Canis lupus familiaris: one gene and its partners. The protein of the gene in region 3 interacts with the protein of the main gene of each other region in a pairwise test. Links are inferred from orthologs where the notes say so. Each region holds a gene or a part of one and is shown on either strand. Other genes may lie near its edges.

The links.
Region 1: the proteins of LDLRAP1 (region 3) and PSD4 interact in binary tests that used the Homo sapiens proteins (3 or more experiments, as listed by UniProt). The two-hybrid records come from large-scale screens. The link is inferred for Canis lupus familiaris from reciprocal best matches to the Homo sapiens genes LDLRAP1 and PSD4.
Region 2: the proteins of LDLRAP1 (region 3) and MAPK8IP3 interact in binary tests that used the Homo sapiens proteins (3 or more experiments, as listed by UniProt). The two-hybrid records come from large-scale screens. The link is inferred for Canis lupus familiaris from reciprocal best matches to the Homo sapiens genes LDLRAP1 and MAPK8IP3.

Annotation. Positions count from the first base shown.
Region 1 is NC_049238.1:37,470,773-37,479,832, reverse strand, and holds the end of PSD4 (PH and SEC7 domain-containing protein 4), read right to left. Parts: intron 9,030-9,060; coding exon 8,986-9,029; intron 8,637-8,985; coding exon 8,476-8,636; intron 7,450-8,475; coding exon 7,379-7,449; intron 7,290-7,378; coding exon 7,126-7,289; intron 6,423-7,125; coding exon 6,278-6,422; intron 6,024-6,277; coding exon 5,880-6,023; intron 4,346-5,879; coding exon 4,088-4,345; 3' UTR 2,109-4,087; downstream 1-2,108. UniProt on the Homo sapiens protein: Guanine nucleotide exchange factor for ARF6 and ARL14/ARF7. Through ARL14 activation, controls the movement of MHC class II-containing vesicles along the actin cytoskeleton in dendritic cells. Involved in membrane recycling.
Region 2 is NC_049227.1:39,580,935-39,591,052, forward strand, and holds part of MAPK8IP3 (C-Jun-amino-terminal kinase-interacting protein 3), read right to left. Parts: intron 7,341-10,118; coding exon 7,329-7,340; intron 6,662-7,328; coding exon 6,644-6,661; intron 5,661-6,643; coding exon 5,603-5,660; intron 5,192-5,602; coding exon 5,039-5,191; intron 4,379-5,038; coding exon 4,297-4,378; intron 3,285-4,296; coding exon 3,154-3,284; intron 2,827-3,153; coding exon 2,770-2,826; intron 2,691-2,769; coding exon 2,520-2,690; intron 1,955-2,519; coding exon 1,828-1,954; intron 1,708-1,827; coding exon 1,612-1,707; intron 1,536-1,611; coding exon 1,380-1,535; intron 927-1,379; coding exon 761-926; intron 46-760; coding exon 1-45.
Region 3 is NC_049223.1:73,745,865-73,755,982, forward strand, and holds part of LDLRAP1 (low density lipoprotein receptor adapter protein 1), read right to left. Parts: intron 4,858-10,118; coding exon 4,715-4,857; intron 3,897-4,714; coding exon 3,784-3,896; intron 1,587-3,783; coding exon 1,472-1,586; intron 1-1,471. UniProt on the Homo sapiens protein: Adapter protein (clathrin-associated sorting protein (CLASP)) required for efficient endocytosis of the LDL receptor (LDLR) in polarized cells such as hepatocytes and lymphocytes, but not in non-polarized cells (fibroblasts).

The DNA of each region.
Region 1 (9,060 bases), on a different chromosome or scaffold from region 3:
AGGGTCAGACAGGTTCCTGAGTCAAAGGTCGCTGAGGGGTGAGGGGCATGAAGGCTGAGAAGACATTGGATTTGATGATTAAGCATCATCAGTGGCCCTTTTGGTGTGTCCCGTTTCTGGGAAGGGTAGAGCAGGAGCCAGTTTGCAAGGTGTGAGTGGGAGCCAGGTGTGAATGGGAGCTGGGTGAGGGAGAGAAACAGCTGGCAAAGACCACACATCTGTGGGTCCCAGCTATAGGCAGCAAAGAGTGAAACTCAGGCTTTTCTTTTTCTTTTTCCTCCCAAGGGTGGTATACTGGAATTTGTTTGCAAGGCGGGATAAGGAAGGTGGTAGAAAGTAGGCCCAAAGACCTGGATGGGACCCCTGAGGGAGAGAGGTCATGGCAGGCAGGAGAAGCAGGGACAGTGTGTGGTCAGTCCCAGATATACAGTGAGCACTTCTTCTTCTAGAGAAGGGAAGAGGAAGGGACAGGTAAAGGTGTGAGCCACAGTTGGACGGCAAGGGGGCACAGACATCCAGAAAAGTTAGCAGAGCGGCGGTGGGAGGAGCCATTATGGAGAGCCATAAGTACGTTGGAGTATGTGCCGGCATGGGCATGCACGTGGGCATAAGGGGCAAGGGGGGGAGGAGGGTCAGGTGGGGGATTGCCAGGTTGTCCTAAGTCTCCAGGCCATTGATTTTTCTCCCCCATTTTCTTTTTTTTTTTCAAATTTTATTTACTTATGATAGTCATACAGAGAGAGAGAGAGGCAGAGACATAGGCAGAGGGAGAAGCAGGCTCCATGCACCAGGAGCCCGATGTGGGATTTGATCCTAGGTCTCGAGGATCACGCCCTGGGCCAAAGGCAGGTGCCAAACCGCTGCACCACCCAGGGATCCCTTTCTCCCCCATTTTCATCTTTTATTTTAGACTTACAGAAAAGTTGCACAGGTGGTGTGGTGTCTCCAGGCCATATTCAGACCCTACCTATTGGCCTTATTCACTCAAGTCACATCATTTTCCTAAAGCAGGCTCCCAGGCTGGCTGCTTCCCAGGCCATGAGCCTGTGCCTCTTCTGCTGATAAAGCACACTCTTGGGCTGCAGGCGAGGGCCTGAGTGACCAGACCCCACCATAGCCATACCACCGTGTTTCCCTTGCCCACTGCCACCGCAATCCTGCAGCCCAGCTCCTTCTAACGTAGCCCACCTGCTGTCGCCATCTGACTCTGACCCTCAAAGAAAAAGACCCAGGCCTTGGGCCTCAGTGGCCTTTTATTCTTTTCTGGTGCCTGATGAATGACCCACAAATGAACGTTATCAGCAGAAAGCCACACAAAACAGAGATTCTGGGAGACCAGGAAGAGGTTACATCTGGGGTGTCACCTGGGTCATGGCAGGCCCAGGCCCTGGAGACTGAGCTTCCCTAGAGGGGAAAGGAGGAGCCAAAGACAAACTTCAGCCAGCCTTGCAGAGCCTGAGCCCATTACCAAGAATCTGTGCCCACCCCACTGTCAGCAAAGAGATCACCAACCCACCTCCCAGGTGGGAAAGGAAGGTCAGACACAGGCCTGAGGGTTGGCGCTGCCCTATGCCTCAGGACTGGGACGGGGAGCTCACTCAGTTTTCACTTTTGTGGGGATAATACTTTGGGGAACTCTAGGCTGCCCCCATATGGCTCTGGATACGATATCCTTTCTCCCTCCATCTATAGGAAGATGTCAGAGTCGCAACCCTCTCCTTGGCGGACTTCTCCAGAAGGTGAGGCCTGGCCTGGATTACTGTGGATTTAGGGAAGTGGAAGGCTCTGGTTCTGGTGATGTTGGGGACAAACAGACTAACTTCCTCTTCTTCAGGGAGCAGAGCTCTGCGGCTGGACACCTGGGCCCCACAAGCTTCAAAGATGCAAGCCCGCCCCCCAGTGGCCACAGGTCAGAACTGCAGCCTAACCACGCAGCCTGCACCTTCCCAGGCCTCCAGGCCAAGGGGCCTAGGCAGCATTGGCCCGCTGCCCCCCCCCACCTCCCCCCAGCCACCACCTGTCTCTGACGGCTTCCTGCGCCCAGGTGAAAGAGAGGTGCCAGTTCTACTTGAACAAAGAAGCATCATAGTGCCACACACATGCACAAATGTGGATAAACCTCTGCCTTTTTTATTCTGGTTTTAGAAATAAGGATATGCGTTCAGTGAGGTCAAATAACCCACTCAAGGCCAAGCTTGTGTCAGTCCTGGGGCAAGTCTCATCCACCTGATGCTCGGTTTTCACCTATTAACTGCACATCAGTGACCCAAGCCGCTTTAAAACAAAAACAAAAACAAAAACATAATCATGCCCTCAACCCAGACCTACTGAATCTGAATCCCTTAGCGTGGGATTTGTTCCTGAGGATGGGAATGCATCCTCAGCATGCCTCCCCAGCAAGATCAAGTGTGCTTCTATACTGATAGCAAGGACCAGAGAACAGGACTGTTACCTCCCAGAGGCCAGAGACATGTTCCAGTCATTTTGGAAATTCCTGTACTGGCCCATAAAAAGTGGTCAATATTATTTATGAAATGAATGAGTGGATGAACAAATGATTCTGAGGTCCCCTCTGGCTCACAGTCTTCCACACATGCACACAGACCTAGACACGCACATACAGACACGCAGAGGTACAGACACACCTAGGTGAAGGGAGACTCAGCCTGGCACCCTGCAGGTGGCTCCAGCTGCTCAGAACAGCCTGACCCTCCCTTCCTCACACATTTGTGCACACCTCCTTCTTCACTTGCCTGCATTTATTGTGCACTCACTGAGTACCTGGCCCGGCCCCAGGCCCTGGCCAGACACCTCTTATGGTCTCGGAGGGTCAGCCCCAGTTGGTGGAGTTCCAGGCCACGGGGCTGGTTACAAACACAGAGGGAGGAGGCCCCCCACCCTCTAGCAGGAAGGCCAGAGAGGCAATGCGTCAGCCAGCAGGCGGCAGACAGGCAGCAGAGGCCCCTCTTGGCGGGCAGCCTGCTCGCACACTTGGCTGAACAGAGACAATGGTGGCTGCTCCTCCAACCCAGCCTCCTTCCCACAGGCAGAGTCTGAGGTCCATGAGTGTCCGGAACCTCCCCCAGAGCCCAGCTGGGAGGCAGTCAGAGGGCAGCACAAGGGGACTTCCCAGGGAGGGGAGCAAAGCCCCCTGTGAGCTGGTGGGGGGAGGGTTCTGGAAGTGGCCCTGGCACCCCTCTTGGGAATGCAACTTTATGGGATGGGGTGTGTGGAAGGGAGCCAGGCTTCTATCTGGCCTTCACAGCTCTCAGCTCCTTCCAAGAGAGCCCCCCGGGGGATGTGTCACATCTTGCCCCTCAGCCCTCTCCTAGGGTCTGAACCTGGAGGACCTCCTTCCCTGCTCTGGAGAAACAAAGGCCCCTTGTTCCCAGGGCTCTCCACAGAGCTCTGGAGGCTCCAACCCCTTCTGGCCCTCACCGACCACCAACGGCTCTGCTCTGATGATTAGCAATTGGGTGTGTGAGGTGGGGCCTCCTTCATTTGCCCCTGGTGCATGGATGATTGTACACAAAGGCCCGGGGCCCAAGAATCAGCCTCACTGAATTTGTTCTTGAAACCCTGCCCTCCCAAGGCCTACCTGTCAGGGGGCAGGGCTGAGCCACCCTGCTGTCACCTGAGGATGGCTGGGGTCTCCCAGGACCTCTCACCACAGGTCACCAGACTCCCAGCACAAGACCACCCTCAGGGCTATGGCTCCACTGGTTTGACTGCCCAGAGGCTTCCGCTGCCTCAGCCTCCCTTCTGGAAGCTCAGAACCCAGGAGTACTCTGAATTTCAAATGAGTGCTGAGCTGCCCCCAGGAGTACAGCCAAACTCTTATCCATCCTCCCCTGAGAGTGAGCAGGGACTGGGGCAGCTGGGGGCCAACCTGGGGGTGGGCACAGAGTACTAGGAAAGTTCCAGTGAACAGGGAGGGAGGATCACAGAGAAATCAGGGTTGTCCTTCAGTGGAAAGGGGAAGGGCCTCATCCCCCATCAGGGACCCACTGAAATGAGGCTCCTCCGTGGGGTCTCATCTCAGGTCCACCCCGGACACGTGGTCAGAGTCTGTGAGGTAGCACCAGCCTCACAGCTGATTGCGGTTCCTCTTGGGTATGATCTTCCGGTAAGTTCTGCGCTCTGAGATGTTGCGCTTCACCTTGGCAGTGGTGGGGGCCTCCTCCTGGTGTAGCGACGGGCTGGAGTGGGACTTCTTCAGGCTGGGCTTGGGCTCCTGAGTGCCTCCGGCTTCCCTCCCCAGGTGCTCTTCCCACAGGTCCAGGTCATCTGAGGAGCAGTGGAGACGGGCCACCAGCAGCTGCACATAGGTCTCGTAGCGGGTTTTCTGCAACACAAGGGACCCGCCACCTTAGTACCACCCTGGCTCCAGGGCTGGAGAAGGCTGGAATCATGGGGGACAGACCACTCACAGTGAACAAGACTCTGGTGGTAAAGATTTCTGCAAAAGGAGTGCTGGGCCAACAGCCAACATCTGTACTGAGCTTGACTTTGTAGACTTTGCAGGACACAGCAGCAACGTGCCCAAAACGTGCAGTTATCTGGACAGTTTTACAATAACACCTACCAGCCCAAGCTTGTTCTAACAGCCACCACCTTGTAATGCTGTAACTAACGCCTCCAGAACACGTTACATCTCTGAGACACTAAAAGATCCATAACCCACTAGGCCTGATCTGTGCAGTGCTGCACACAAACAGCTCACATCTGTACTGAAGCCTAATTGAGTCTGAATAGCATTTTAACAATTGGCATCTGGAGAGTGGGATGCTAACTACCCTCATCTGTTTAACTCTCCGAAGGCCTCCATAACTAGCAGCTTTCAGATGCGGGTGGGGTCCCAGTGTACTGAGTGTATGCTCATCCTCCACCCCACCTGATCCTCAATCCCAGCTCTGGCTGACTGGGTGACCAGGGAATCGTTTTCTCCACCTTATAAAGAAGGGAATGAGATCTAGGGAGGGCCAAGGGCTTGCTACAGGTTGCAGCTGACCATAGGCAGGGAGAGGCTAGGATTCTGCAGGCAGGGATGGGTCCTGTCACCCCAGAGACTCTGGGAAACGGTGCATCCACGGCTGAGGACCACCTACCAAGCTAAGGGATGAGCCAAAAAGGCAGGGAGAGGGCAGTGTGAGACCTGGTGAGCACAGCCCAGGATGACACGGATGCTTCCTTCTCTGGTCTCTGCCTCTGGATGGCTCTGATCCTCTCTGTCCTCATACTGCCCCTCCCCTGCCCCTCTTGGCTTCAGATCCCAGAATGTGTGCACTGACCAGAGGCCTAAGATGTAAGATGAAGGAGGGAGGGTAAGATGCGGGGCCAGGGGATAAAACAGTGCGGCACAGATCAGATTATTCCTTAGTTAAGACTATGAGGCACGGCCCTGCCTGGAATAGGATGTGAATTCATCAAGTTTGGAGAAATTGTTTAATCTTTCCCTGCCTGCTTCCTCATCTGTAAAGGGAGGATGACGGTCCCTACCTCAGAGTTGTGAGACGCCTAAATAAGATAATACCGGCAAGTATTACAAGCTCTATAAATACCGTCTACTAGTACTAGGTAGGTATTAGGGAAAATAATTCAACTAAAATACAGTTTTCCCTTCAATTTAGGTAAAGGCGAATATAGTATACTCTTAGGTGAAAGTGATCAAGAGTCCGCTGGAAGAGTTTGCAGACCATGCCAGGTGCCCCCAGGGCAAGGGAAGGGGTCTGCGTGCACAGGGACACGCACCGTGCACAGGGCGCTGCGGGCCGCCGAATGCGGCCACGAGAGGGCGGCAGAGCGCCGCACCGAGGCGGGGAGGGGGAGGGGGAGGGGGAGGGGGAGGGGCGGGGAGGGGCGGGGACTCAGCGCCGGACCTCATACTCCAGGTACTCCTTCCGCAAGCGGTACTCCTCCAGCTCGCGGCCGCGGCCCCGCCTCTCCGGGAGGTTCCGCTGCAGGTCGAGCAGGTCGTCGGAGGCAGCGTCCAGGCAGTTCTCGTGGGATCGGTGCTGCTCCTCCTGGGGGCGGGCCGGAGGGGAAGCTGTCCCACCGCTCCGCCCGGGCCCCGATGCGCCGCGCAGGCCACCCCATCCCCTCACGCCGTTCCCGGCCCCGGGTGCTCCCGGGCCTAGGTGCTCGTGCTCGTGCTCGGCGCACCCGCTCCGGCTCGCCAGGCCCGGGGCGCAGCCCCGCCCTCCCCTGGCCCGTCCCCTGGCCCGTCCCCTGGCCCGTCCCCTGGCCCGTCCCCTGGCCCGTCCCCGCCGGGCCGTACCAGCGTGCTCTGGGCGGGGCCCACAGGCAGGATGGGCCGGACGAATCTGCGCTGGGAGCCCACGGCGGCAGGGAAGGGCGGCGCCGAGTGCGTGGCGGCCGCCAGGTTGATGCGCGCGATCCAGGAACTCATCTCCTTCGCGGTGCTGAGGGCAGAGGAGGCCGTTAGTCCCCAGGGTGACAGAGTCGGCCCCGTCCCTCTCCCCGCGGCCTCCTGCGGGCTGCACAGTTCCAGACTCTCGAGACCCAGAGCCTCAAAAAGCCAGAAGCCGGTCACCAGCCCAGGTGGCTGACCTCTGCGGGTGGTTTTTATCATCTGTCAAAGAGGAAAATCTAGGAAAGCAATGGATTTTAGATCAAATGCAAAAAAAAAAAAAAAAAATCAGTGGCTAGAGGCTTTCCTGGGATCCTCTGTTCATAAGTAGGAGGCTGGCCCGGGGCTTCCAGGGAAGAGGCCCCTGCAGTGGCAAAGTGGGCAGGGTCAGAGGAGGCCTCAGGTGCAGCCCTAGGACCCCTGCCGGCTGCGGCGGTCTGATGTTCCGGGTCAAGAAGGCAGTTCCCGGGGATCCCTGGGTGGCTCAGCGGTTTGGCGCCTGCCTTCTGCCCAGGGCGTGATCCTGGAGTCCCAGGATCGAGTCCTGCGTCGGGCTCCCTGCATGGAGCCTGCTCCTCCCTCTGCCTGTGTCTCTGCCCCTCTCTCATTAATAAATAAAATATTAAAAAAAAAAAAAAAAAAAAAGAAGGCAGTTCCCACCAAGGCCCCAGCCAACAGCCATCAGAGGGTGAGCGTGAGATCAGGGAGAGGAGGGCCAGGGCCTTGCTGCTTGGCGGGCACCCCCAGGGACTTACGGTGCCTGGAAGAGGTAGAGGCGCCAGTCGGCAGTCCGCAGCTGGAAGACGTGCGGCTTCTTGGTGTAATGGGTGGCCGGGGTGGCCAGTGAGTGGTGCACTCCCACCGGCTCGTCCACCATCTGTCCCACCAAACTCTGACCACTCTGGCAGTGGTCCTCTCCCTGCCACAGGGCACAGGGCCTCAGAAAAGGGGTGCCTATCAGTTGCCCACCCTCCAAACCATTCTGGTTCCCCACCCTGCCCTTCCTACCTTCAGGAAGTAGAGGACCATCCCTCGAAGCAAGGTGTGGAACATCTTCCAGCCACGCTTACCCCACGGTGCTGCTCCAGGGGTAGAACACAAAAGCAGGTGGTGGCACCCCAACCAGACACATGCAGTCCCCTCTCCCCGCCAACTCAGTCCCTCCCCAGGGTGCACATAATGAACACACAGTGACGTACCAACACAAGAAAACAGTCGCAAACAAGCAGATGCCATGCCTCACACCCAGGCAATCTTGCTTGGACCGCACAAACGACAACAAAACCAGATGTCCACACCGACCATCCTCCCTCCAAACACTCCCACCCGCAAGCACAGTTCCACCAGACATCTTTCTGGTCCCATCCAGAGAGTCACAGGGCTCAGGTTGTCATGCAGTAGGTGGCCGGCTTCCCCGGGGTCGCCTCCCGGCCTTGCTTAGGCCCAAATGCTAGCTCCTGGCTGGTCCCACACCCCATCCAATCCAGGATTCCATTACTACTCTGGTCCCATGGCTGCCCTGCCCTAAAGCTCCTGTCTGCAGAATGAGGCCAAATGCACCCCCTGCCATTCTGTCACACCCCTTCTATTCCCAGCAAACCATTCCTGCTCCTTGTCTGAGGGAAATGCCCTCTGGCCTCTTTTGCTCTGAGATTCAACTCTGATACCATCATTTCCCAGAAGCCTCACCAATCCCTGTCCCCCACATCTCACCCTCCAAACAAAATCAAAACCTAGCCCTCCTCCACACCCCCATATTTGACCTCCCCCTCCCTACACCCCTCAGCAATTTCTACCTTTTATCCCAACACTGATGTACTTGTCTCACCTCCCCCTTACCACAGAGGTCCTGGGGGCCAAGGAGTACCTAGGTGTGTCTTGTCTCTGCACCCCCGCCCCCTGGCATCTTACCCAGCACCCAGCACATGGTCCCTATCAAGGAAGGAACACAGGCTGCCTGTCCTTGACCTGCACCATCTCTCTGCATGCTGGCACACACTTCAGCTCATGTCCCTGTGCCAAGCTACTCTGCATGCCTGTATGCACACACACTCTGGTTCGGTGGCAGACACAAGCCCCACACACTCAGCACAGCAGACACTCACTCTTCTTGCCATCCGCATCGTGATGCATCTTCCGAGCCAGGATGCCCTGCTTGTAGGTGGGCGCCGTGGGGTTCTGGGCCAGCTGGAGGAAGGGGTTGCTCATCTTGCCAGAGGGGAGAGACAGCTGGGCCTTTTCTGGTCTGCCTGCGTTGTCTTCGTCCCTGGGCATCAGAGAATCAGGTTGGGGGTACTGACTGGGTAAAAGCCACCAGGAGGGGCCCTCAGCTTCAGCACCTTCTACCTTCTCTCTCACTGGAGAGCCATATCCCAGGACCCCCCAAAAGGAGTCCTTCAAAGCCAGCTATTCCTGTCATCCCTACTCCCCACGGCCCCTGGATCCTCCAGGTATTACCTGGACTCCTCTAGCCTCTTTGAGATTGGCCTCTGTCTGGACCCCACACAGAGGCCCTGGGCTCCTCCAACTCTCAGGTGGGTGGGTGGATGGAAGGAGGATAGGCCCAGAGGCAGGGGAGAAGGGGGGGGAGTAGAAGGAAGGGGAGTCTTACTTACACGGCCCATTCAAGCTTCTCACTTCGGATAGACCAGTAGAGGGCCTAGAATGGAAGTGCACAGTGAGCAGGGAGC
Region 2 (10,118 bases), on a different chromosome or scaffold from region 3:
TGTCCAGGAAGATCTCCCCCGGAGGGTAGTCACTGTCACTGGCCGCTGGGGGGACAGGCACAGCCCTGTCACCCCACACTGCGCAGCCCCTACTGGGGCTCACTGCCCGATGCAGGTGCCGTGGGAGGCCAGGGGACCGCCTGCCAATGCAGAGGCTTCTGCTCTCGCAGTGGGCCCCAGGCTCTCAGGCCAGAGTGGCCCCAGCACACGTGGGTACCTGCTCACAACCACCGCCCGCAGGCCTGGAAAGCCACCAGCAAGAGGCATGGAGTAGTGAGACTCTGGGCTCTGGGAGCAGACAACTGTGATCATGTGACAAAACCTTAAGAACTCTGAGGAGCTTGGGGCCATTGTCCTGCCCACCGCCTGGCCACCCCTAGACGCTAGCACAGGGCTTGCTGCTGAGAGGCAAAGCCAAGCCTCCACTGGCCCAGCTCCCCCTGCTGCAGTGGGGCAGTGGGAACTGGGCCCACCAGCAGGTCCATGGTCAGTGCCGCATTTCAGTCTGTCCCGAGGCCCAACCCATCTCCTTCTGGTTAGGCGAGCATCACCTTGGGGTCTTCTCCTGGTTGTTCATAAGACTAAGGGGCGAGACCACCTGTGTGCTCTCCCTGGACGCCCCCAGGGGCTCCTGTGTCTAGAGAGGGACCCAAGCAAGGCTGGTGCGGCTCAGTGGGCCTCCTGACGCACCCACCGTCTGCAGTGGTGCAGAGCCCCATGCTGTTGGTGCGGGTTCCCCGTAGGTGGGGCTGGCCCTCACCTGGGATGCTGGAGATGCACAGGACATGGGCGTTGCAGACGGTGAACTGGTCCACCACGGTGCCTGGCTGGTTGGCGTCAATGATGACCACTTTGCTGGTGGTCAGGGTGCTGGTGAGGATCCACACGCGGCTGGAGGTGGCGTCTGGCTCAGGGAGCTCTTTGGCCTGTGTCAGGGCACAGGAGGGCAGGACTGGCACCGAGCACGGACCACTGGCACAGCCACACGGGTTGTGGGGCCCACCCCTGCAGGGCTCTCTGAGGGGGCCGCCTGCCCTCGGCCTCAAGGGATGCGGCGCTGCTCCCGCGGAGCAGGGCAGCTTGCACCGGGACTGGACTTCCTGGCCGCACCACCGCCTCACCCCCACTGAGAACGGAGCTCTGGTACCTGGCTGCCTGCCTCCCAAGTCAGTGGGGGGCACAGCCCCTCCCACTGCTCCTGCCCACAGCTTGCAGGGAGGGAGACGCCTCAGGGGCCTGACCTCTCCAGCTCTACCGCCTGGCCGGGGGAAGGGACCTCAGATGAGCCCACGCCTGTGGCCCTGTCCTCAGCTGTCCTGTTTCTGTCACACCAGTGCTGGGCACAGTCATCCAGACCCTGGCCTGCCTTCCGCTCTGACCTTCTTCTCGGGGGACGTGTGATTGCTCTTGCTCTCTCCTTCCACTTCCCGGTCGCAGGTCAGAGGGTCACGGCCCGGCACCGGCTTGACTCCGTTCCCAGAGTCCTCCTCACTGGGTTTCCAGCCACTCAGGTTGACGCCGGCAGCACACCACAGCTGGGAGACCGGCCACGGGGTCAGTGAGCGTGCTCCCCTGCGTGGCCCACCCTCTCGGCAGGCCAACGGCGCTCACCTTCATGGTTGGGTCTTTCTCCACAAGAGGGCGGCAGTACACGGGGACGGGCACGTTCTTCATCCGCGTGTCCTCCTGGCCTCCGTTCGGACTCAGCTGCAATCACAAGGCAGAGGCCGCGTGGGCGCGAGGCCCGGGGCTGGGGGCTCCCCTTAGCTGTCCCACCGGCCCCAGCACCCGCCCCACTCCGCCTGTACCCTGTGCCCCCTGCAGCACCTGCTTGTACTTGGCCGGCAGGCTCCAGCCGCAGGCCTGCAGCCGCCCGTCGTCATTGCGCACGTGCTCGCGCACCTGGCGGTACTGCTCACGCTTCTGCTCCCGGCGGGCGGAGGACGTGCAGTCACTGGGCAGGAGGCAGGCAGGTCACTTACCGCTGGGTCCCGCGGGCCGCCCTGCCCGGAGCTTGCCCGCCCCATCCAGCTCCCGCCCTGCCGCACAGCCACTGAGGCTGGCTGTCAGGACCGTACAGTGCAGCTGCCCTCCCTCTGGACCCGTCCTGGAGAACGTCCCGTCTTCTGACATGGGACACACAATCCCCCACTTCTGCCCTGGAGCCAAAATCTTGGTACCAAAACTTAAGGAAAACACAAAATTCCAAACGGTATTCTCAGGAAGAAGCCCAGCCCTGCTGGTAACCTCCTGTCGGCTCCAAGCATCCCCGGGGAGCGCGGGTGTGCTGGGCAGCCTGGGCGCGGCCCGACCCGAAGGTGGCTGCGGTGACGTCCCCAAGGGCAGGGGCTGGGGGCTGCCGCCAGCATACCCAGTCACGTTCAGGGGCGCAGGGCGAGGGCGCAGAGGTCGGCCTCCATGCCTGAGCCTGGAGGGGGGACCCTGGCACACACAGCCTCCCCCCAGACCCCCCATGTGCAGGCCAGCAGGAGAAGCGGGGGAGACGACGGGACACTCACTCATCGGGGAAGAACTCCAGAGGTCGGCTGCCAGCCGAGATCTGGCACATCGCGTGGCTGCGGCGCTGGCTGAAGCCGGCTGTGGTGGGCGACTTGTAATGGATGTTCACTGACGGGTAGGACCGCTTGGCCGGAGGGGGGCTGGAGGAGGAGCTGAAGAGGCGGCTGAAGCTGCCAGTGGAGGCATGGGGAGTGAGGGGCGGCCAAGGGGCAGCCTTCCCTGCCCCCCACCCTGGCACCCCCGACTCACAACTGCCAGATGGTGGACTTCTTCTTCTCCTGGACAGACGGATGTTCTCGGGATGCTCTAGGGGAGGGGCAGGGGAGGAGCCAAGCTCAGCCCCCCCCTCCCGCCCAGGCTGACCTGCTCCTAGACCACACCCACCCACGCTGTGACCCTGTGCCACCCTTGCAGGGGCCCCTCCTGCCTCCCCTGCCTGGGACCTTCTCAGGGTGCTGGGTGGGTCCACCACCACTTCCGGAGGGGCCCCAGCACAGGGCCCCGACAGGCTCCCACCAGGTCCCCCTTCCAGTCCTCCTGCGGGAGAGGGAGGTGGGGTGGGGATCCGCCTTCATCCCATTGTCAGGGCATCCTACAGTGAGCACAGGTCCAAGAGGAGACCCGGGGGCCCACCTAATCATCTCAGTCCACCGCACGGCCTCCTGGAGCTCCATCAACCTCTCCTTGTACTGGTTGCGCTCCATGAGCACACGGGCCATCTCCACCCGTGTGAAGCGGCGGCGCTGTGCCATGGGGATCTTGTCCTGCAGGGGAGGGCACTGCTGTTCAGCCAGCGGGGGGGCCACCAGCAGGTCAGTCCGGAGTGGGCCAGTCCCCGCATGGATACGCCTCCCCGTCCAGGCAAACGCGGTGGGAAGGTGAGGGCAGGGGACCAGACATAGTGGGGGTCTACCCACCCCAAGAAGGGTCACCTTCCAGAGGGTCACATGATATGCTCAAGGGGTACAACACAGCAACTTTTCTTACAAGCCCCTGGACACCAGGGCAACCCCAAATGCCATCAGTGAGCATTAACAGGTGAGCCTGGACCGGGTGGAGCCTCAGAAAGAGAGGCTCCAGGGAAGGTCCAGTGAGTGGACCTGGGGTCAGTACGTCCACATGGGACGCTGCAGGAGTTAGCAGATCTGCCTGGGGCCTGCCAGCTCTGAGTGCTGAGGCAGGGCCAGGTCTGCTCCCAGGAGCCAGGCCCTGGGCTGCCGTGGGCTGGCACAGGGCAGGGGGAGCAGAGACCCGCCCTGATCGACACCTCCTGCAGCCCCACAATTCACCCACACCTCCGTGTTGTTCTAGGGTGCTCGGGGTGGGGGGTGTGCAGGACGAGCCAGAGTAAATGGCAAGCACTCTGATCCGTGCATCACGTGCCCCCCAAAATAACAGCTACTGAGCGGTGTGGTCAGTGTCCACTATCTACCTGGGGCTGAAGAGTCAGGCCTTGCCTTCTGTGGAGGACTACTCATCTCCAGCCAGAAGGGGTCCCCGCGGGAGAGGGCCAAGGCCCCCCCCCCACAGTCCCCCTCTGCCCTCCTGCGACAGTCACGGACCAGCCCCCAAGGAGTGGAGGGCTTTCCTCAGCACCGTACTTGCACCCAAAGGGGGCGTGGGCACCTGTGGCTGCACAGGGTTCCCACCAAGATGGGCGGAGGAGACGACACAGGGTGGGTAAGGAGGGCCCCGAGACCCGGAGAGATGGGCGCCCCTGGGAGCCCGCCCCGCGCAGCCCGCCCCCCATGCCCTCATGTTAATAGTGGAATATACCAATTCTGTACAGAGATAGCTGCTTACATCCTCCACCTCTTCTTTGGGCTCACGGCGGGCGATGATGGCCTCCGACTTCACTCTGCAGGATGAGGAGGGAACGGTGGTGGGGTGGTGGCCCCGCTGGACACGGCGCCCTGAGCACTCCTAACGCCCTGGGGACCAGCAGCCCACTGCCCTGCTCACACGCGCTGTGAAGTCCCGACCCCGTCCTGGCTGCCCCAGCGGGGGAGCAGGGCTTCCGGGAACGGGGATGCAGGCCAGCTGCTTGGACAGCGCGAGGCGGTTCGGTCACCCCCACAGGCGTGCGCGGTGCCACCCCCCTCCCGCCCTCCTGTCACACCTCCCCTGTCCAGTCTGCAGCCATAGGCACCCCTCGGGGCGAGCATCAGGCTAGAAGAGAAAGGCCACAGGGAAGTGCCAAGTGCTGGGGAGGACACCCCAGAGCTCTGGGGTCCCCTCCCCTCCCCTCCCTCCTTTGTAAGAGGCTGCCAGAGACACCCAGGCCTGGTGAGGGATTCTGGCAGGATGGGGGAGGTGGCGGGGGGTAGGTGGGCCTGGGAGTGCTCCCATGTGAGGGCAGGAGGGGGAGGCTGCACAGTCAGCACCCCAGTGGAGCCCCCGTGGGGCAATGCCCTCCAGGGGACGCCAAGGAGGAGAGGCCTGGGGTCCACCCTGCCCCTCCCAGGAGCCCCACCCCCTCCTGGGGCATTCCCCGCCCTCCCATAGGCCCACCCCTCACCTCCTCAGCTCCTCCTCCAGGTCCTTGATGCGGCCCTCCAGCCGGAGTTTGGCCTGTCTGGCGGCTTCCAAGTCCCCCTTGAGCACTTCCTGCTCCCCAGACAGCTGGTCCACCTTGGCAATGAGGTCATTCTTCACCACATTCAGAGCATTTCTTGGAGAAGGCAGAAAGTGTGGACGTCCGTGTGAACCACTGTGCATGTGGAGCGATGAGGGCTGAAGGGGGCCTGCCGGGACGAGGGGTCGGGAAGGGCACCCGGGTGCAGAACGCAGGGAAGGGCGGTGACCCTGGAGGGTGTGCCAAGCCCTCTGATCCGGGTCCTCCCTGGGGTTGTGGCGGCCATGGCCCTGGGGGAGGGCTATCTCAGCAACCTCCCTGCTGGAGGGCAGCATTCCTTTTGCAGGGGAGGGGGGCAGATCCCAAGCAGAAGCCACACCCAGCGCAGAGGGGGACACAGGCAGGGCTGGATCCCATGACCCTGAGATTACGACCTGAGCTGACAGCAAGCCTGGGAGGCTCATTGGGCTGAGCCACCCCAGTGACCCTGGAGAAGGGCATCCTTACTTGGTTTCCAGAAGCTGTGAGTTCTCCAGAAGCAGATTCCCCACTTCCTTGCCCATTCCTGAAACAAAAGGCAGAGAGATGTTACCTGTGCTGGTAAAGTTAGACCCTGAGGTTACGCCGCCTGCCTCAGAGCAACAGACCTCGGCCCCGGGAGGGCACACAGGAGGATGAGGCCCACAGGTCTGGGCCCTGGGGAGAGGCCTCTGCTGGTCTTTGGGTGGGCGCCCGGCCAGCAGTGCTGCCAGCGAGCAGCCTGCAGATGGTGTTGCGCGGGTCCCCCCCTAGCTGACCCCCCACAGCTCACCAGTGACGTGAGCTGACCCCTCAATTGCTGGCCCCTCTTAGCACCCCCTGTATCCCCGAGCCCTGGGGTTCCTGAGCCCTTTTCAGAGCTGGCCCAGGAGAATAGCGGTTGGAGCCGTGGTGACAGCACAGGACGGCAGAGAGCCCCTGGCCAAGGAGATGGCTCGGCCCGCCACCAGGGCAGGGAGCAGGGCTGGTGGGACCCGACCCCAAGCGGTGGGGTCAGCAGCAGGCAGAGGAGGGAGCAGAAGGGAGGGCGGCGCTCCCTGGGGTTGGTGCCCAGAGGGGCCGACCCTGGTTTACAGGAGCTGGGTTGGGGGATCCACTTGGGGGCCCCACCGACTACGCTCTCTGCAGGCACGTCGCAAACTCGCATGTACTGACGCTCGGCCTGAGGACACACAGCCCCAGCAGCCCGGGGTCTGTTCCTAATACCCACTTGCCCTGGTCTGAGGCGCACTGGTGTACTCAGCACGGGGTCTGACCACTGTCTGTGCTCCCGCCCCCTCAGCCTGTCCAGGGTCTGCTCTGAGAGAGGACGCTGGGGGGTCGGGATCGAGCCCCCCACCCCCACCCCAAAAGCCAGGGGCCAGGAGATCCCGTGGCCTCTGCGGACCCCACCGCCGCCCCCAGCATGCAGAGCAAAGCAAACAGCTCAGAGCACCGAAGGAGGTGTGAGGCACACAGGGGGAGCCAGGAACGGGAGAAACACAAACTGAATCGGGGCCTTGGCCTTACCAAAGAAATCATGGCGCACTAGGAGAGCCGTCCCAGTCCCACGGGAGCCGGGCGACCAGGGCGGCAGGGGGAGGGAAGGAAGGGAGAAAAGACAAGCGCATTAAGCCTGTGTGAGCAGCAGGGCGGAGGGACACTAGGGCTTCGGTGGGGGGGGGGGGGTGTGTGCGTCCTGGAGAGGGCCAGGAGGCGGGACGCTCCCTCTGCAAGGACACCGCCAGGCCAGGGGCACCTGGTGGTGCAGGGAGGGGGGGGAGGGCGGGGCAGTGCACCGACGTCACACACAGAAGTCCTGGGCTGGGAGGGGTGGGCGTTAGGGTGTTAGGGCGTGAGGCCCCCCGACTTCCGGGGTGCACCTGACAGAGGGGAGACCCACAGAACTAGGCCCTGCGGCCCCATCCCAACTGTGCTATGCTTCTCATGGCTCCGTAGAACCTTAAGGAATGGCACAGGGGGATGGTGGGCCTCTGAAGGGACAGGGAAGGCCATGGTCAGTGGGCTAGTAGAGCAAACCAAAATAAGCTTCCGAGCGGCAGTAGGCTGGTGAGCAAAAGCACGTGTGCCTTAGTGGCCTGGAAAGGAACCAGGAGGGGAGAGGCTGCAGCAGGGAGTGCCCCAGGGAGGCCACCCCACTGCAGCTGGACGCCGCCGTGGGGGGTGCAGACAGACAGACGGGACAGATACGCACCTGAGAACTCCCCTGGGGTGTGTCCAGCGAAGCACAGAGAGACGGGGGAAAGGAAGTGACAAAGGTCAGTGGGTGACTGGAACCAACAAAATAAAGAGATTTTCATTAAAAAGAAAGCAACACCGAGCAGCCATCTCCATGTTGAAAAGCAAGAAGGAACCCGAGCTGATGTCACCAGGTCTGTGGGTGACAAATCCCACTGGGGACGGCCACCCTACAGGAAGATGGGAGACCCAGTGCCAGGCCCCACACCTGCTCAGCCCTCGGGAGGGGGAGGCCTAGGAAGGCGAGAGCGTGTGTGCGTGTGCACGTGCAGTGGCATATGTGTGCACTGGTGTGCGTGTGTGTGTGCACGTGCGTGCGTGGGTGGGTCAGGTGCCCAGGGTGGCCAGGCTCGAGGGCCCGCTGCTGGGAGGGAGGGCAGGTGGTGGGGGCGGCGGGCCTGTGGGCTGGCAGGGCCCCCCTCACTGGGGTCCAAGCCTCTCTGCTGCCCCGCTGGAGATGGGTGCAACACTACCACTCTGCGTGGTCATTTCCCGCACAAGGAACACTACAGTCTCTTGACTTCTCCAGAGTCTAATGTAGGAATTTAAGTGACAAACAGGTGCACCCTCTCTCCTTGCTCCCTCCTGGGGCAACGTCTGTCCGCAGCTGGGATGCTTCTCAGAACTCCGGGAGAAACACCAGCAGTGAAAGGACAGCCTCAGGGCCATGCTATCCACGCTCCTGGGCCAGGTGCTCTATGCCAGGAGACACTGCACAGGAGATCCGTGTCACCTCGGGCGCAGCGCCCCGTGCCATGGCGTGCCTGGTGCAGGACACGAGGGGGCCCGCTGGAGGCCCTGTCCCCGCCCGGCCACCACCCCACACTGCCAGCTACTCCGCGGGCCACACCTCCTGGCAGCAGGCGCAGCAGCACTTGCTTGGGCTTTGTGGATCTCTTGAGGAAAGAGTTCTCTCCGCGTTCCCTGGATTGTTCTCGAGGTTGAGCATCCATTGGTGTTCGCTGCCATCTTGTGTGTATGCACCACTGGGTTCCACTCGGGTGGGAAACGACGCACCTTTTCTTAAGCTGCGTGCATCAGACATGTCAGTATTTTCCCCTACGGCTGTGGCCACGGAGGGGGGCTCCGATCGCCAACACACTCTCCAGGATGCTTTGGCTTCCTTCCTCATGTTTTTTTTTTTTTTAAGATTTTATTTATTAATGAGAGATACAGAGAGAGGCAGAGACCCAGGCAGAGGGAGAAGCAGGCTCCGTGCCGGAAGCCTGACGTGGGACCCGATCCCGGGTCCCCAGGATCAGGCCCTGGGTGGAAGGCGGCGCTAAACCGCTGAGCCTCCGGGCTGCCCTCTCCTCATGTTTTTACACCTGCATCTTCCATCTACTAGAAACCTTTGGTGTGCTGCACGAGGTGGGGGCCACACTTCATTCTTCACCAAGGGGATGCCTGGCGAGTCCACCCCTCACATGGCTCTGGTCTCGCACCAGGGACCCCGGGGCCGCTGGCGTGTGGCCGCAGCGCTATAAATGCTTTCACGCCTGGAACATCGGGCAACCCTCGACCTTGTTCTTTCTCAATCATCCCGGGCTGCTCCCACACGCTTACTCCTCTGGGTGAACCTCAGAATCCCTTCGTCAAGGGCACTTCCGTCCGGACCAGGGGCCGCTGGGTGAGGTTGCGGGGCGGCTCCGGAGCTGCGCAGGCAGACCCAGCACGAACCACACGTCTGAGACTCCGAGGCTGGTCTCCTGCTCTTCAGTCGTGTTTCCTGACTTGTTCACACGCGTTGGTCTTTCTCAAGGTGATTTGCACACGCTCTGGGTCTGGCCGGCCAGTGCAGCCCTGCACAGTCTAACTGCCTGGCTTCTCTTCCGTTCCCTCATTTGTGAAGGGGGCACACAGTCTCCCTCGCGGGGACTCCCGTGGCTCACGGGACACCGCCTGCTAGGCCCCAGTGCGCGTGAAGTGGTCACCAAGCACGACTCCCTCACCTCGAGGGATGCACGGTGGCAGTGTGGCGCCCCTGGGACCAGGTGTGGTCTCACTCGATGGCACCCCCTCCGGGGACCGGCAGCAAGGGCTCGATTTCTTAAGTCACGGTGTGTGTGGCAAGCGGTGGCAGGAGTTTAGTGAGACCTGAGACCTGCCTCTCCAGGTTCTTTCCTTCCTTCTTGCTACAGGAATTCACAGCCCAAGTGCCAAGAGGCAGGGAGCAGGCGGTGCAGGCCCGTGAAGCACGGAGGACTCCGCTCACCCCAGCCCGTGGCACTGGTGTTTCTGAGGCCACAGGGCCTTTCCTCAGCGAAAACGGCCACAGAATGGAGACTACCAGAGCCGCTCCCTGGCCCCAGGCTCCTCCGTGGAGCAGCCACACTGGCGAGGCACAGCTCATTGACGGGTGTTTCCCAAGAATGGGGGGGGGGCATCCCAGCCCGAACTAGGCGGTGCCCACCGACCCATGGAGTATCGCGGTGGAAGTTCTGAGTACACAGCACAGTGACTCGCGCCCTGTCGCCCTATGACAAGAGGATTCTGGTTTGCATTTTCCCAGAACAAAGACCCAGTAGATGCACCTCATGAGGTCTTCTCATGAAAAGGTCACAACAGGTGCTCTTCTAGGGAAGTGACCCCAGGACATTCACCAGACGTCACTTCCCTCCCAGGTGCTCTTCTAGGGAAGTGACCCCAGGACATTCACCAGACGTCACTTCCCTCCCAGGAGCCATCCTACGTCTGCCATGGAGGTCAAGCTCACTGACGTGTGCTGCTGGTTCTCCACTCTTTC
Region 3 (10,118 bases):
GTCCTGTAATGCTCTCTCCAAAAGACCTGTGTGGGAGGCTGAATCATAGCCCCCAAAGATGTCCACATCCTAATCCCCAGAACCCATGAGTGTTAGCTAGAATGGCAAAGGAAACTTCCCAAATGTGACTAAGTTAAGGATTTTGAGATGAGGGTTATCCTGGATTACCTAGGAGGCCCAGCCACGGGAGCCTTTTAAGAGAGAGGAGGCAGGAAGGTCAGAGCCAGTGACAATGGAAGCGGGAGGAAGACTCTTCTAGTCTAGTACTGCACTGCTGGCCGTCAGGTTGAAGAAAGAGCTAGGAACCAGGGAATGGTGGTCTCTAGAAACTTGTAAAAAGGCAAGAAAATGTATTCTCCTCTGGAGCCTACAAAAAGATCACAACTCTGCTGACCCACTTTAGACTTCTGACCTCCAGAACCATAGGAGAATAAATTTGGATTGTTTTAAACCACTAAATTTGTGGTAATTTCTTACAGCAGCTCTAGGAAACCAATACCATATTTCAAGCAGGCCCCGATGGGGACAGCAAGCCTGGGGGCCATGTAAGAGTGCGTGTCCTTGATGAGAGGAGAGAGGATCCTGTCTCCTTGGTTCGGAGGACCATAGGGCATGGTGAGTAGGGCTTTGGGCTCCACACAGCGGTTAACAGGAGCCAACACTAAACCAATAAATGTCAGGAATTTCCTCACAGAGCAGATGCTCAGACCTTGGGGCCTCCAAAGTGAAAGCCTCAACATAAAAGTGGACTCACTCTGGCTGCTGGTCCCCAAGTTCAAGACAAAATGCAGAGACCACGGAGGTCCCACTTGTCTCAGCTGGATGTGGCGAGGAGGCAGCCTGGAAATGGGGTAAGGAGCTCGGGGCTCCCGAGGTCATGCAGGGAGGGGGAGAAACATGGGTTTAAACCCTCGCTCTGCCTGGGCAGCTGTGTCATCTTCAGCAAGACAGCTGACCTCTGTGAGTCTGTTTCCTCATTAAAAATAAAAACAGTGAAGACAGTAGCAGCTGCCACCTCACAGAGCTGTGAGGACTAAACAGAAGATCCCTTAAAATCCATCACTGAAAGAGGCACATGGTAGGTACCCCAAAATGGCCATTTCCCTCCCCACTCTGGTCACAGAGAGCCAGTCCCCTTGCCCTTCCCCTGGGTTCTCTGATCACCAGGCTCCAAGGACTAATTCCTACAAGGGTCCAAACCCTCAGACCATACTACTGACAGGAGAGACTCCCCCGACCCCACGTTGGCTTGCCACCGCCCACAGGCCAGGCTAGCCAGCCAGGGCAGCCCACAATGACAGACTGCCCAGTGACTGCAGCCTTACTTGGTGCTCTCACCATCCACGTGGGGTTCCCAGGAATTTCATACTTCCTATTAAGTGACATCACCTCTGGGTCCTGCCTCCCCCCAAGGGCAGGGCTGCTGAGGCAAGGCCAGAGCCTGCCAGGGACCCAGGCCCTCCCCACTGACCATTTTCCGTTTGGTGCAGAGGAAGGCATGGCACTCGAGATTCTCGTTGTGCTGGCTCTGTGCAATGTAGGCAAACACTTTGTCGTGCATCTTGTCTGCTGTGCAATAGGAGATCCTGAAAGACAACAGGGGAAGTGTCACCAAACCTGGCACAGGGGCCTGCCCACATCTGGGGTGCCCCATAGGGCATCTCCCCTGAGTCCCTGAGAGCCAGCCATCCTACTCCACCAGGGGGAGACTCTGGAGATGGCTTTGGCCTCTGGGACTGGCATTCTGGGCCATCGATGGGGGGCACCCAGGCTAGGCAAGAAGGAATGCAGGGAAAGACAGGGTACTTCCCCTCTTTACTGAGCCATACCCCAAAATGGTAATGGCTATGCCCTTCCTGCATCCCAGGCAACATTTTAGATATGACTTCACTTAATTCTCAGAGCTGCCCTCCAACAGGTTCTATAATTGTCCCCACTTTGCAGACGAGAAAACTGAAGCTAATGGTCTCAGACCACCAAGCTAGTGGCAGAGCTGAGAACTGTACTCACCTGTGGATTCCAGAGGCTATAACCACTGTCAGGCTACCCTTAAGGGTCTGGGCTGACCAGACGGAAGGGGAAGCAGGACACCACCCTGCCCACCGATGCCCTTCACCAGGCCTTCCCTCCCTGCCCTCCATCCATGCCCCTGCCCAGAGGTTGGAGGAGCTCTAGGCCCTCTCTCCCAGTGTGACTGACACTGCTGGCAAATTGTCCCAGAGCTGTGGTCAGAGGTGGAGGAGCTGGGAGCAGGGTGAGTGTGTGAAGATGACTGGACTGGGAGCCCCAGCCAAACCAGGAGGGATACACAGCAATCCCCTCTTGGTGGAACACGTGCCCCCATGCCCCCTCATTTGCTCCTTCCCTGCTGGCTGCTCAGCCTGGGAATCTCAATTAGGAGATGGGATGCCTGGGTGGCTCAACTCTTGAGCATCTGCCTTTGGCACAGGGAGTGATCCCAGAGTCCCAGGATCAAGTCCCACATCAGGCTCCCTGCATGGAGCCTGCTTCTCCCTCTGCCTATGTCTCTGCCTCTGTGTGTGTGTGTGTGTGTGTGTGTGTGTGTGTGTGTGTCTTTCATGAATAAATAAAATCTTTAAAAAGAGAGGGGGGGGGGGGACTGGCAGCCCAGAGGTGGGACAGGAGCTCAGCTAACTCCTTCCCCCAGTGTGGCCCCAGCTCCTATCACAGCCATGAACAAAGGGATCAGCACCACTTAAGACCCCCAGGCCAGCAGCTACCTCTTCGCCATCCCAGGGAATCCAGCCTCCTGCCACCTCCCTGGGGCAGGCCTTGCTGGGTCCCCTCAGGCAGGCCCCTCCTTCTCTGCCTTCTTGGGAAATATTATACCCTCCCTCCTATTTCTTGCCCTCCATGTCCTCCCTGCCAGCAAGGGCTGGGTGTGAGCCCTCCCCTAGTTAAAGGAGGCAGGCACAATCAGGAAGGTGAGAGGAAGACACCAGCCAGAAACTCTAAGACCAAACCCCGCCCACCCCCACCCCTCACCTCTCCAGTACTGGCTTGTGCTCCAGTGGATTGAGCCAGTGCTTGGAAACAAAGCAAGAGGGTGGAGGGATGCCCAGCAGCTGGGTGCCCACTGGACAGAACTCCAGCCTTGGTGCCCTGGTCCCACCTCAGCTACTACCTCACTGTGGGGCCTTGGGCAACTCCCCGAGCCTCAGCTTCTCTGTCTGTAAAATGGACTGTCCCTTCCAGCACTGAAATCCTACAACTGACCAGCCAAGGGAGGGAACGGAGAGAGCTTGAGGTTTCAAGGGCTGGGCTCTGCTTCCTTGAAAACAGTGCCCACCCCCATACCATCCCCACTCTGGCCTCAGACTCTGCCTTGAGGCCTCCCTGAATGCCTGGCCACATGTTCAGAGCTGAGCTGCTGCATTCACAGTGGAAGAAAAAGGCAGAGACTGGGCAGCGCTCTGCTCCAAGCCTGACTCAGCAGCCCGCCTCGGGAGGGGCAGTAGGGAGGGGGCCCTAGCCCTGACTAGAGCTCAGCTGCCTACTTCAACTAGAAATAATGACAGCAGCAACTGCCTTCTACCAAGTGCCCACTGACAGCCAGGCACTGTGCACTCAGCACTTCCTAACAGCACAAGGAGGCAGCATCTGTTTCCAACTGCACAGACACACAAGGAAACTGAGGCCCCAAGGTCAACCAGAAGGAAAGTGCTGGAGCCTGGATTCAGAAAGGGTGACCCCCCCCCCCAACTCCAGCCCCTGCACCACTAACCCAAGTGGCAGAGTGAATGTGGGCAATGCTGAGCATACCTGTAAATGGACACGTTCTCAATGAGCTGGTTGGTGATGTTGTCGGTCAGGATAATCCCCCGTGGCGACACCTTGAGAGTCACTTTCTGCAGCTTCTTCCCGCTAGCCTTGGCCTTGGGGTAGATGTGGGTCAGAGAAGCCTGCGTGCCCCACTTGGGACCTATCTCATGGACTGCACCTAGCTTGTCCAAGCCCCAGACTCGGGGCCCCAGTGAGGCCTCAATGTAGAGACAGCAGACACTCTGGGGAGGATGGAAGTCCGCACTCTCCTGTAATAAACTCAGGGCAGCTGCTCACAGAGCACCTGCTGTCTGCCAGGCACTGGACCTTGAGTCATCCTTATAGGCAACAGAGCTTCTCCTGGGGGAAATGGACTCAGAGGTTAAAGGACCTGCCCCAGGACACACAGGAGAGACCGCAGACTCTGAGCACTGACAGGGCTATCACAACCCAGCAGGATCACTCCTGGGGACTCCCCACTCCACCCACTACACGTGTGAAGGTCTGTGTGGAGGGCTCCAAGGCCACCAAGGAAGGTGTACTTCTAGGGCCATGCTTACTCAGGATGGGGAAGCTAGGGACTAGGGACGGGGGACAGCTGGTCTCTGGTGGGTTACCCTGTCCCTCAAGCCAGAGGGCAAGTGATTGGGTAACAGCTTGGCACTAAGTCACCAACCCTTAGGCAGGGGACCTGAGTTGGAGGAGGGGAGGCTGGAAGAGGCCATGGCCACAAGAGCTGGAGAGGAGGACACTGACCCTGACCCCACAAGCCCAGTGGCTCCCCTCTACCAGAGTCCCTAAGCTGGATGCAAGAGAACTCAGGGGCAGGAACAGCTCAGATGAATCCAATCAGGGTAATAAGCAGGGGATGAGTGGTACCTCAAGAAGCTGGCCCTTGGCTCATGGCTCCCCCACCCTGCCTGGGGCTCACCGTGGCCACAATCCTCTTGACAGCAGCAGCTGACAGCTCCTCACCCTTGGGCTGCTCCACCAGCGTCATGCCCAGGTACTTGAGGCTGAAGAGCATTCCCTCGAGCAGTGTCTCCCGAGTGTCTGTCCAGTTCTCTGGCAGCTCTGGGCAGGAAGAAGACAGGTCCTCAGACCCTGTCCTCCCAGCCCCCACTTCCTAGGGAAGACGTAGCAAGGGGCATTCGGGTTCGTCTATCTACCATTATTTTTACCTATAATAAAGAACAAACATTTTCCAGTACTCACCAAGAACCACGCTAAGAAACCTTATATAAAATAGCCTCATTAAGTCTTACGACAATCTATGAGATAGACACTTTTATCATACCCACTTACAAAGACACTGAGGCCTGGGGAGATAAAATCACACAACCAAGTCCACAGAGCCAGCCAAGTATAAGAGCCAAGATCCGAACCCATATTTTCAAGTTCAAAGCCCAAATTCAACTTCAACACTAATGCTTGCTGAGAGCAAACCATGCTTTTTTTTTTTTTTTTTTTTTTTTTTACTGAATCTTCTGCACAGTCCTGTGACATGGATGTTATCCTCACTTTATAGATTAGGAAATAGGAAACTGAGGCTCAGAGATGCAAAGTCATCAGACAAAGACCACATACAGTGAGTAAAAGGTTGGGAGTTAGGCTCAACCTGGGTGAGCCTCCCAGGTTCCCACTCAAACCTGGGTGGCTCCCAGGGCCCCAGCCTGCTCTGCTGCCCTCCATCTGCACAGCCCTAGAGAGGAAGAGGCAGGGAGGAGGGGGACCAGGAAAGAGGTGGTGATAGGGTCGGGCAATGGGAGAGGTGATTGCTCAAATGACATCCTATGAAGGCTTCCTGAATCCAGCTCTGCTTCCCACCACCTTGCACGTGTTGGGGAAGTCCCTTCCCCTCTCTAAGACAGTAATGCTGAAGCAATGACACAGAGCAAGGCACATGGAAAGGTCCTCTGAAAACTCTGGCCATGACAGAGATCAGGAAGGTTGGGAAATGGGAGAAAGAGCCCAGCTCACTGGGTAGGGAAACAGATGGAGAGAGAGAGAGTTGGAAAGCCCCTGCCTCATTCATCCACATGAGAGAGGGCCCTGAGCAGGCAGGAGGGCATGTGTGGTTTTCATCAGTGGTTTGAACAACCCCAGGATCCCTCCCCAGATCATTCAGCTGGAAGCAATGAAGCCAGAAGCGGAAGAAAGGTCTCTAAGGACCCTTCCAAGACCGATCACCAAGACAATGAACACCCCATGCTCCTGCCTGTCAAGGCCCTTTGCCTGTCCTTTATTATCCTTTCTCCGATGCTGCAGTGTAGGAGGTACTAGGATTGTACTTTGAAGAGGAGGAAACTGCTCTTTAGCTGCACACAATCTTGGATAGGGCAGGATCCATAGAGGAACCAGTTTCCAGGGGCCACCACGGCCAGGGCCAGCTTCCCTGGACCATTTTCTGAGAGAGGAGTGGAGAGAATCTTGTGCTCCTCCAGAGGCCCTCAGTGGCTGTAATGGAAGAGCCACAGGAAGAAAGCTTAGGAGTGGGCATCAATGGTGCCAGGGCAGCTGAGGTTCTGAGCTGGCACAGCCTGATTCTGAGGGTCCTGCACTATTGGGTCCAGGTGGCAGCACTGGGCCCCTCTCCCTTGTCTGGCCCATGCTGCCCCTCCTAGCAACTGTCTTGGGAGTTCTACTCCTCCCGGAGCTCTACCTCCCTCTGCACCAGTCAGAAGGAGCCTTGTATACCCACACCTCTCTGGCTTTGACTTGAACAAGCCACTGTCCCTTTCTGAAACTACTTCCTCCTCTGAAAAATAATGCACGTATGTTGGGTGAGGGCTGTTTTAAAGAACTTACGGGTGTACCCAGTCCCCGTTTGAGATCCAGGTGAGCAGGGACTTGTTGACTGGTCATCCAGAGTCTGGCATGTAGTTGGCACTCAGTATTTGCTGAGTGAAGAAATGACCTGGACAACTCCAAGGGTTCTTTCAGCCTTGCAATGTCTCAAACCCCATCCTTAGCTCCAATCTCCAGCCCATTGCTCTCTAGCCCTTGAACTTGGGCCACCGACCCAACATGAGGCCCAGCCCCCACTGAGAAGACCCTCAAAGTGACCCTATCCACTGCTATATCAATCACGAGCCTACTTCACTTGATCCTCCAAAAAAGAATCAGAAAGTCCCTGAGGTGTCCCAGTTCTGGGATGGGTCCCGGTGAAAATCACATCTGAGCCTTGCTCTCAAAGAAACCAAACACCACCATATTACCAGTGCAGAACAGAGCTAGCGAGCAACAAAAACAACAATAACAAAGCAGCTCTTACCATTACTTCTAACATTACAGTACTTTGCAGGCACACATTCTTTCATTTCTGTTTCATAGGAGGGAAGGGAGAGTCAAAGGACAAGTAACTTGTCACATTAGTTGTTGTCTGACTGTAAATAAAGCCCAAGCTCCTGACCAGTAGCCCATATAATCTTCTCATGAGGCAAACTACCTTGATTTTAGCAAAAGGTCAGAAAGAAGTTCCTAAAGCCAGAGATACTTCTTCCCACAATTCCTAATTCCTGAGGCTTCCCCTCAGTGGGTACTCAAACTACCACTCTCAACCCCAGATGCATCTAAACTACATGCTGCAATGCCTATCGCTAATGTCCTTGACAGACATTGCTAATCGATTGCAGCTCTATTCCCTCTGATTTACGGCTTTGGACTGTTTCTCCATATAAGGCTCCAGGCAGGCAATACCAATCAATCAGGGGTGGCCTCCTTCATCTAATTATCCATCCCTGCCCTACAGCAAGCATCCTTCCTCTCTGCCATTTTCGTGTCCCCACTACCCCATTTCCTCTGGTTCAGTTGGCCCCTCTCCAAAGCCACTTCCGTTCCTTCTATTCCAAAGGGCCAAAGCTTGCCAAGGTCACAGATGACCTCTTTGCTGTCAAAACAATCCCCAGTCCTCCCTGACCTCTGAAATGCTTAGCATATTCTGCATTCTTCCTTTTCTGGCCTGACCCCTCCCCTATTCTGCGGCCTCTTTCATGAGGGCCCTGGTAGACTGGTTACCACTCATCAGCCTTGGAGACCCTCTGCCCCAACTCCTCACATGACAGATGACGAAACTGAGGCCCAGGGAGGGATGGGACTTGGGTAAGATCCCACAAAGCAGAGCTTCACTCCCACACACATACCCCAACCCACTAGAGGCAATTCTGACTACAGGCAATGACTACTGGGGAGTCACAGGTGTCCCAGTCTTCTCTCCCACAATATCCCTGCATGCACATACTCATTCACACGCACCTGAGCACACACAGCAGAAGCTGCAACCATGTAGAGTCTCTTCTTCTTTCCCACTTCTGTAGCTTTGCTTAAGGAGTTCCTTCTATCAGAAATGCCCTTTCCTTTATTTGATTGAAACCCCTTGCATTTAGCCTCATCCAGGCAGCCTTCTTGAAGGCAGGATAGCCTGGCTGTTAAGAGCAAAGCTCTTAATCCTAGAATCCCAATTCTGACATTGTTTGAATGATCTTGAGCAAATTCATTACCTTCCCTGACCCTCAGTTTTCTCTTCCAATAATATGCGGGAAACAACAGTCTCAGGCTCACAGGGCTGCTGTTTTGACCCTTTGATGAGATAATGAGGTAATAAAACGTAATGTACTTAGCACAGGACCCCGCCCTTGGTCACGCCTCCTGATGAGGCCCTCTGTCAGAGGGTCGCTGTGCCTCTCTAGAGCATGGATTTCCTTCTCTTCCTTCTCCAGCCACATCACTCACAGCCAGCAGCTGCCTACCATGTGTCTTCCTCTTGAAGGACTCTTGTTCATGTGCGTCTCCCCCAGGAATAGAAGAAGGTGCACTCCTGTCCAGTGTTACGGCTCGGCCTCGTCCTTTTCCTCCTTCCCATTACCCTATCCTCCCGGCCCAGCAAGATCCTCCTTCCCCTCTAGGGAGGGAAATCTGTCTCCCCCTCCTATACTGTCCTTCTGGGCATGACTCATAAGGTCTCTGGTGCCCACACCCTCCCTGAAGAAACCTGCACCAAAGAGCACTCAGTATGACAAATGCAGAGTTTGTGTCTGCTCACCATCCATCTCAGGCTGGCGGCCACATGCTCCTTCCTAGGAGGAGCCCGGGGCTTTGGGAAGAGCTCCCAGAGGCCCTCAGGCAAACACAGGCCTGAGTCCACAGCCCTGTTCCGGTCCTGGTTATTTTTGGTCCTGTGGTGGGTAATGACTGCGCTATTTTAACTTAGCAATTTTACAGATGACCTGCTGTCACAGTTAGCTGGGGACGGACCATATGCCCAGTTTAACCCGCGGCAGCAAACGTGTATTCTTTCCTCATTAAGGCCCCCTGCCCAGGGTTTGGAGCTGGGCAGGGTGCCCTGTGCCCCTTTGGCTGCCCAGGAGACCCAGCCTGGCTGGTGTCTGGAACATCAAAGTTATAGCCAAACCCATGGGCCAGGGGGACCATCCAAGGGTCCTGGCCTCCAGCCTTTTCTAGTCTGGTGGGGAGGTGGCCTCAGAAGCCACAGAGTAACATCTGAGAAGGCAACCCGAGCCCTGGCATGACCTGGAATGTAGCTGCTTCTCTAAGGCCACAGTCTCTGACAAATGGGTTCAGTTCCTCAAGAACATCATCAGAAACAGGTTCATCATGTAAGAAGTGCCAGGCAAATTCAGAAGTTGTTAAGATTATCAAAAGAAAATAATTAAAAAATGATGATAGCGTAAGCTCTCATTTCCTGGATGGCTACTTACTCTGTAAGAGAAAAACATGCTTGTAAAGGTTAAAACTATGGGGTCTGGAGATGGGCTATGGGGTTCAGGCACTCCATCCACCTCCCTGGTCCTCCGTTTCCTCACTTAAAAATTGCGACAAGAAGCTTGTCCACCGCACAAGGTTGTTGTGAGGATGAAATGAGTTCACACCCGAGGTGGGCTTAGAACCATGCCTGGCACATACTGAGGGCCACTGAAGTGTGAGCTACTGTCATTACCCAGGGTCGAGGGCTAAGAGCTTGAATGTGCACGCAGCCATTTACAATATTTTTGAGGAGAGGCAAGGATATATTAGGATTCCCACTTTACAGATGAAGAGGCTCGGAGGAGTCTGGCCATGACTCATAATTGACAATGCTGGTCTTTGCCTCCCACAGCCCCATGCCATTCGCCCACTCCCGCAACCCACCGAGCTCCTTCCCGTGTGAAGCAGGGGTCAGGATCACACAAAGGGATGGGCATCGTGTCCTGCATGCTTGCCTGAACAGGGTGAGCAGGGGATGACCTGACTCCTTCAAGGCACATATGCCTCCCTCGGCCGCCAGACCTGTGAGAAGCAGTGCCCCGGCCTCCAGTTCAACGTCCCCTGCACCTGCT